Linked DNA regions of Nothobranchius furzeri. The protein of the gene in region 1 interacts with the protein of each later gene in a pairwise test. Links are inferred from orthologs where the notes say so. Each region holds a gene or a part of one and is shown in the gene's direction. Other genes may lie near its edges.

What was found.
Region 2: the proteins of egfl6 (region 1) and endophilin-A1 interact in a two-hybrid assay, tested with the Homo sapiens proteins (2 studies listed by BioGRID and IntAct). The link is inferred for Nothobranchius furzeri from reciprocal best matches to the Homo sapiens genes EGFL6 and SH3GL2.

What each region holds. Positions count from the first base shown.
Region 1 is NC_091754.1:23,199,320-23,203,145, forward strand, and holds part of egfl6 (epidermal growth factor-like protein 6), read left to right. Parts: intron 1-199; coding exon 200-306; intron 307-566; coding exon 567-659; intron 660-783; coding exon 784-903; intron 904-979; coding exon 980-1,099; intron 1,100-3,221; coding exon 3,222-3,356; intron 3,357-3,430; coding exon 3,431-3,553; intron 3,554-3,826.
Region 2 is NC_091742.1:89,754,513-89,758,438, reverse strand, and holds the start of endophilin-A1, read left to right. Parts: upstream 1-1,183; 5' UTR 1,184-1,417; coding exon 1,418-1,462; intron 1,463-3,926. UniProt on the Homo sapiens protein: Implicated in synaptic vesicle endocytosis. May recruit other proteins to membranes with high curvature. Required for BDNF-dependent dendrite outgrowth.

The sequences.
Region 1 (3,826 bases):
TTATCTTATCTGTTTTTCTTTGATGTAAAGCTAATAATTTGTGTCGGTTGCTGCTGCCTGTTGGCCAGATCATTGTTGTAAATGAGAATGAGTTTTCTTATTTTATATAAATCCAGTTTTTAATTGCATGATCAATCCTCTAAAAAGAGAGAATAATAAGTAAAATGAATGACTGGACCTATTTTTCTGTCTGGTATAGACATTACCGACAAGTTCTTTCTGGAAACCAACAAGGTGTGTGCCGCTACGGGAGGAGACTGGAGTGCTGCTATGGCTGGAAGAAAAACAATAAAGGGCAGTGTGAGGGTAAGAAATGACCTAATTTACTGTTTTTTTTTCCCCACGCTTTTATCTTCTAAAAGACTTTTTGACCTATTGAAAATAGTTACAGAGACAAATCTGAAGGTTCTGTCTGGAAACCCGGCACGTTCTTATGTTTTTCATCAGGTTTCCCAGATTTGGAGGAAATGCCTGAATAATAGAAATGTGTGGTTTGAATGTGGTCCATCAGTCTCCACCACTAATAATTCTGGTGGTACTTTTCTTCATGTTGAATGTTTTACCAGCTCAGTGCGAGCACGGCTGCAAGCACGGTGAGTGTGTCGGCCCCAACAAATGCAAGTGTTTCCCTGGATACACCGGAAAGACGTGTAATCAAGGTGGGTGAAAGGGATCAGCGAGGAGGGAAACAAGGGTTAGAGGGAGATCAGAATCTTATTTTGCATTACTGTATTTAATCCAACACTTGCCTTGAATTAAGGAAGTGATTCTGTTTATTTCCAGATCTGAACGAGTGCGGCCTGAAGCCTCGTCCTTGCGAGCATCGCTGCATGAACACCCACGGAAGTTACATGTGCTACTGCCTCAATGGATACATGTTGATGCCTGATGGGTCATGTGCCAGTACGTCTCTTTTGTGCAGCACTTTACTCTAATAAAAAAGCAGAAGTGGTTTAATAAATAAGGTTTGTGCGTGCAGATTCCAGGACCTGCTCCCTGGCTCACTGTCAGTACGGCTGTGAGGAAGTGGAAGGGGAAATCCGCTGCCTTTGCCCGTCTGCAGGTCTCCAACTGGGTCAAGACGAAAGAACATGCGTAGGTGAGCTCAACGTGTCAAGCACAATTACAAACCCGACCATCATGATCAAACTGCTCTGATTTAAAGAAAAAAAAAAAAAAAAAACGAGAACGAACATGAACTATAAAAGGTTGTAGCGTTAGCCTCCAAGGCTTGTTAGTCACGGATGCTGTTAGGTTTTATTTCCTGCCGCAAAAACTGCTCAAGCTGAGCCAAACCATCATTGGTGGGGGGGGGGGGGGGGGGGGGGGGGGGGGTAGTAACACACTAGATCAACAGATCATATTTCACGACGGCCTCTGAGAAGATCATCATCAACATTTGGTTTCAAAAATACCAAAAAATAACGAAGTCCAGATGTGCTGCAGAGAGAAAAGATAACCCTAATGAGACAGATGCAGGCTGACTGTTTACAGAAAATTTCAATCTTAGTTCAATCTAGAGTGTCTGCTCAGCATCGAACTGAAAAAAATAAAAATAAACAATGACTGCAGGCCTACTTCAATTTTCAGCCACCATTAGAACTCTTTGAGGCCACATGTTGAGTTCAAGTTCTGATTTCATTTAAAGAAAATAAACATTGAGTATAAAGATCTTGTCCAGAAGACCACGAGGACCACTTGCACTTTTTCATCCTCCAAAGCCATAATAATAGTAATACTGTATAAACCTTCTTTGGCATGGTCACTGATTCTCACAATGCACATTAAACAACTAATTAGTGTACCATACTGCATACACATCCCATCAATAATTATTCTCGGGGAAAAGAAAGTCTTTCAGGAATTGTTTACGATCACGAGGATGCAAAACGCTGCAGGAAAAGAACGTTTGAGCATACCACTCCAGTCCTGCCTCGTTACATTTTAGAGTTTGTTTGACTGACATTCATTCCTACTAGAGGCCACTGCAAATGTATTGATTAAACAAGTGAACCACCCCTTTAAGTCATTAAATGATTTGGCACCTGTTTACTTTTCCAGTTTGCCTCAAGTCCCCTCTCGGTCAGCTGACCAGCTGTTGCTGGTTGTCACTAAATTGCGTCTGAAACGTACTTTTACTCACTGGTGTTTAGTTCAGTTATCGACAGTTTTACATTTGATTCTTTTTTGCTTTTATTGTTTTTATTTAACATTTTGTATTTGTGCTGCAAAGCACTTTGGTCAACCACGTTTTAAAAGTGCTATACAAATAAAGAATGGTATAGTATATCGTAAAGCTTCCATTTTGTAGATGGATGACTTCATTGGAATGCCAGGAGCACACAGACAGCAGGTCTTCCTGCAGCATCACAGAGATGTGAGCTTGAGTTAGGTCATCCCAGTTTGTTCAGAAAAAACACGTTTGTAGAACAAGTGCAGAAAATGTCCCCGATTAAACCTCCACAAGTCTCTTGATTGTAAACTTTTTGTTTGGACAAGTTTTCTGCATTTTTTTTGGAACCATCAGGAACATCCGACCTTCTGATCTCAGGCAGCGTTTGGAAGTGTAGATTTACACCAAATCAGTTATATATGAGGGTATATAGTGGGCCTGGTTAAACTCACCATCCATCCATCTTCTGAACCCGCTTCGTCCACGCAGGGTCGCGGGGGGGGGGGGGGGGGGGCTGGTGCCTATCTCCAGCAGTCAATGGGCAAGTAGGCGGGATACACCCTGGACAGAGAGCCAGTCCATCACAGGGCTGGTTAAACTCACATTAGGCATAAAATATGAAAACAACAAAAACAATTTTTTTATAATAATAAAGTCATTTATTGATAGGTTTTAACAAAAAGAATGAAACGTGTCCGTGAATATCAAATATTAAGTAGGACTTCTGCTTTCTCTGATGAAATGTTTAAGGTGGTCATTAAAATTGTGTTTATGCTTTAGTTCAGGGGTACTGCTGTGCACAATGTGCTACATGTCTCCAGGAAAATGTGAGTTACAACAAAACTAATGTACAGAAATGACAAAAACACCACTCTGTGTCTCTAGTGCACGTTTTAAAGGACAATAAATTGTTTCTGATTTTATTGTATATCATATTTCTTCTCATTCTGCCAACGTGAAATACTGAAACTCACAGTAGACAAATTACTGAGTGTATAAGTTTACAGGTAAATAACTAACTTTTCGGCCACGGTTTGCTTCATTTCAGATATTGATGAATGCATAACTGGGAAGAACCTCTGCCCATACAACAGAAAATGTGTGAACACCTTCGGCAGCTACTACTGCAAGTGCCAAGACGGCTACGATCTGAAATATCTAAACGGCAAATACGACTGTCAAGGTGAAGTCTACAAGGTTTTCAAGGTGAAACATACAACTTTGTCTTCTGTAGTTACCAATAGGGTTGTTTTACAGATGTGGATGAGTGTGCAGCTGGAACCCACAAGTGCAGCCACCACGCCGTTTGTCTGAACACTCAGGGATCCTACAAGTGCAGGTGCAAGTCTGGCTTCAGAGGCAACGGCTTTGAGTGCTCCGGTGAGACCGAACATCTGCTGCACAGAATTATAAAACCATTTACTTTTACAGGTGCATTTAAACTTTAGCTAAAAAGAAACAAAAACATACAGGTGAGACCTTTTCCCGATCAAAGATATCCATCAAATATGTCAGGAAGACGTGAACAGCTGCAGATTTAGTTTGGACTCTGTCAGTGCTCTGGAAACCTGCCAACGTCAGTTTCCTGCCTTTGGACTCCGCTCCTCTTCCACAGATGTTAGAGAGACAGACTGAAAACGCACCTGTGTAAAT
Region 2 (3,926 bases), on another chromosome or scaffold:
AGGCGTAACCTTCGGTCACGTGACCACATAGATCTGGGTTTTTGTGTTTGTTTGTTTGTTTGTGTATAAAAGCAGCGGCAGACACGAACGCGTCGCGCGTGGGGTTGCTCGTGGATGCTGGAGGGTGGAGAGACCACGTGACAGAAGAACGCAGCCAGTTCCCGCCCTGCGGAAGATCGTGTGTGAGGGAAAGATGGAGGCTCTAAATCAAAGATAGATTTTAAAGACTGAATAAATACTTTTGAGAAAAAAAGAGTAAACATAGTCTGTCATTTTTAAATGTAAAAGGAGAAAATTACAGCTAACAAAGTTTTATATGAGATATCTGTGGTCTGGTGGGAACACCTTGGAACATCAGAGGAAGAGCTGGAAGGTGTCATCAATCAATCAGATTTTATTTATAAAGTGCTTTTCAAGCAAAGTGCGACTCAAAGTGCTTTACAGAATAAAAATGACCCCAAATTTCCAGTTTAAAAACATTAACAGGCACACACACACACACACACACACACACACACACACACACACACACACACACACACACACACACATCAGTAAAAATTCATATTTGGCTGAGTCCAGATGAGCCAAGTAAGGTAAGGCAAGGAAACGCCATCAGTCATCATCAGTAACAGGTTTTCCACACTAAAAGGGCGCTCAGAGGAGGGGGAGCACAGACCCCCACCTCCACCTCAGCTTTACCTGTAGAGCGCTCACGAAGCAACAGTCGACCACCGCCCCGGGGCAGAGGGCCCCTACAGAGAAAACACAGGATTAAAATGAGTAAAAATATGAAAATAAAAGAGCTAATAAAAATGACAAAAGTAAGAAAATAAATAATAAATAAAAATTATAATATTATTAAATAATAAAACTGTGCTAAATATAATCATATAAAACACGCAAAGCCATTAATAACACATAATCAACTAGAAATAAAACTATAGTAAATAATTAAATAAAATTCATCTCAGTACTCTACAATGACAGAAAATAATAAAGCACTCTACTTAAAATTATATTTTGTGGTAAATAAACTTGTAGTTAATTCAGGGAAAAATAAAAAAGATTTTTTACTTTTAGGTGAACACAGCAGGCTTCCGTACACAGCTGATCATGTTTCTGATCCTTCATAAATACAATTTTCAGGTTTCTGTACTTTCTGTTCCCGTTGCCATGACTCCCGCCCGCGTGAGCCATCTGCCAGTTGGAGGATCTGCGTGCAGCTCTTTTCTCTCCGCTCCGAGGACGCGTCCAGCTGGGTCTGGTTCCGCTCTTTTCCTCTCCTCTTCCACACCGATAAACGGACTCTGTCCGCCGTAAACGGGAGGGTCGGCCGGCTCCAGGACTCCGGTTCGGTCCAGATTAAACCAGCTGTTTATCCGAAGCGTGTTGGTTGTTTTTCACCGGAGAGGAGATGTCTGTCGCGGGCTTGAAGAAGCAGTTCCATAAAGCCACCCAGGTGAGACCCGGGGCTTCAGCTGTTGCCCCTTTGCTCTTTGTTTGTGGTTGTTTTGAACAAAAACAAAACATGCGGGGAGAGTGAATAAATGCATGTAAATCGGAGCTTCTCTGAGGATAAACATCGTGTTTTCTGTGCTTCGTTAGCACCAACACGTCTGAAAATGTTACCGGGTCGTTTTTATTTGGACTGTTTGGTGAATTCTCAGCTCCAGGCTGTTTTTTGTGATACTTCACGTTGATATTTTTGGTTTTACTGATTTATTTTGGCTGGTTTTGGACATTTCGAGTCTAATTGGTTGAAGAGATGAAATATTTGGACTTCGTGTTTTTTCTCGCGATATTTGGAGATACAATCGGGGTGAACCTCTAAAGTGATGTTATGTAACACTTCATCAGCTGATTGGCTGCTGCTGTGAGCAACAGGGAATTCCCTCCATCCCTCAGACAACAGGCTCTGATCATCTCCATCCTCCTCCACAACCCGTCCTGCATCCCTCCATCCTTATTATGGCTCTTTTCATGCATCCCTCCTTCATTCATTCATCGTTCATCCATACCTCTATTGTTCATCACCCCCTCTACTCCAAGACTCATCCCTCCATCGTCACACCATTATGATCTTCTTTCCAACCAATCCTCTTTCTGTCCCTTTTATTCATGCATTTGTTCATCCCTCCATCGCCTTCATCCTCTTCTTGTTTACCCTCCACCCCTCCGTAGCATCATTTCATCTTGTGGTCATTTGCAGAATATTAATAAACTCTATCCCTCTCATCTGCTTCCATCCAACTCTTAATTATCGTCATCCTGCTCATTTTTTCCTCTCATCCTCCCGTTTCTAAACATTAAATTCTTCAAGCTGCTTGTTTTATCTTCATCCTCTCATCTCTCCACCCCTTTCACCTTTTCTTGTTTTTAAAGCTCTCCGTTCATTAGTGCATCTCGTCCTCCTTCCATCATCCCTCCTTCATCCAGACTGGACCTTCTATTCCTTTTCTCTAAACAAACCATCTGCTTGTTGTGGTTTTACAAACAGGCATGAACACCGAACCTGACTAGACCTCATTGGTTCTTTTTGTTTTGCTGATGATGACGATGGAGACAAACATAACGTCTTCTTCACTCAGAATCATCTAGTCTCATCCTTTCTTCTGGTTGTGCTGCTCCAGACCCGTAGGAGAATAACATTCCTCCTGTTTGGATCCGGGTTTCCAGGATAAGTTGGAACGGATAAACTTGTCATTCCTCATACCTTCCTGTAGTCCGTCAGCTTCAGACACCTGGATGCTCATAGAACCTCCTCCTCCTTCTTCTTCTTCTTACATTTTATTTTATTTATTTAGGACAGTGCATGTTAATGAACATCAATGTAAAAGCAGCGTACGTGAATGTAAACATGCCAGATTATAGCCAAAGGCTAAGTTCCATCTGTTGTCCTCAGACAGAAAAAGACATAATAATTCATAAAAATTCATCATTCATTCATAATAAAAACTCCATCACCAAACTTACACATACACACCATTCTATTCACAAATAAAACATTAAAACTATACAACTCATACATGATCACACACTTGATTTGTCCATAACCAGTTTTTAATCTTTGCCTTACACAAACTGAAAGTCGAGCATTCTCTAACGGGTTGAGGAAGACTGTTCCACAGACGGCCACCCTTGACAGAGAGGACGTTCTGCCCAAAAGCTGTCCGTCTATGTGGTATAAACAATTCTCCTCGAATTGTTGCTCGTGTGGTCCTGTTTGAGCTTTCTTTATGCCTAATGAACTGCTTTAGTGGTGGTGGAGCAAGGGAGTGTTAAACAGACTCTTTTAAGTTTCATTAAGTTATTGAAGTTGTCATTTATGTTTTTTTAACACATGACAATGGTGGTGGGAAGTCGGTTTTTTGTCAAGTAATTTTAAACTTCTTTTATAAATGTTTTCAATAGTTTTAAGTGTTGTTGGACAAGCGAGTGACCAGGAAAGGGTATCCGCGGGTCCTTAAAAAGTCTTAAATTTGCTTTTTCAAACTTAAGGCCTTAAAAATCCTTAAAAATGACAAATAATCCTTAAATACAGTTTCCAAAGGTCTTAAATTACCAAAGACCCAATAAACAAGATTCTTTTATTTCTATAAAATTTTCGTGAATTTCTAGTTAGTGTTCAGCAAGTTTTGTGTACGATGTTGGCGTAAGCGGAACCGTACACATTCAGTTGGTTGTGAAAGGGGGCTATTTTTAGATGAGCACGCTAGTGGGAGTTTGCGTCATGGGGAAGTGCAACATTAATGGTAACTGGATGGCTAATCCCACGTTCGTGACGTGGTTAGCACCGGTTCCAGGCAATAGCTGGAAATTATAGCTTAAATTTAATTTTAAAAATAGCTTAAATTTGGTCCAAGTGGCCTTAAAAAAGGTCTTAAAAAGTCTTAAATTTGGCTCCCTTAAACCTGCAGATACCC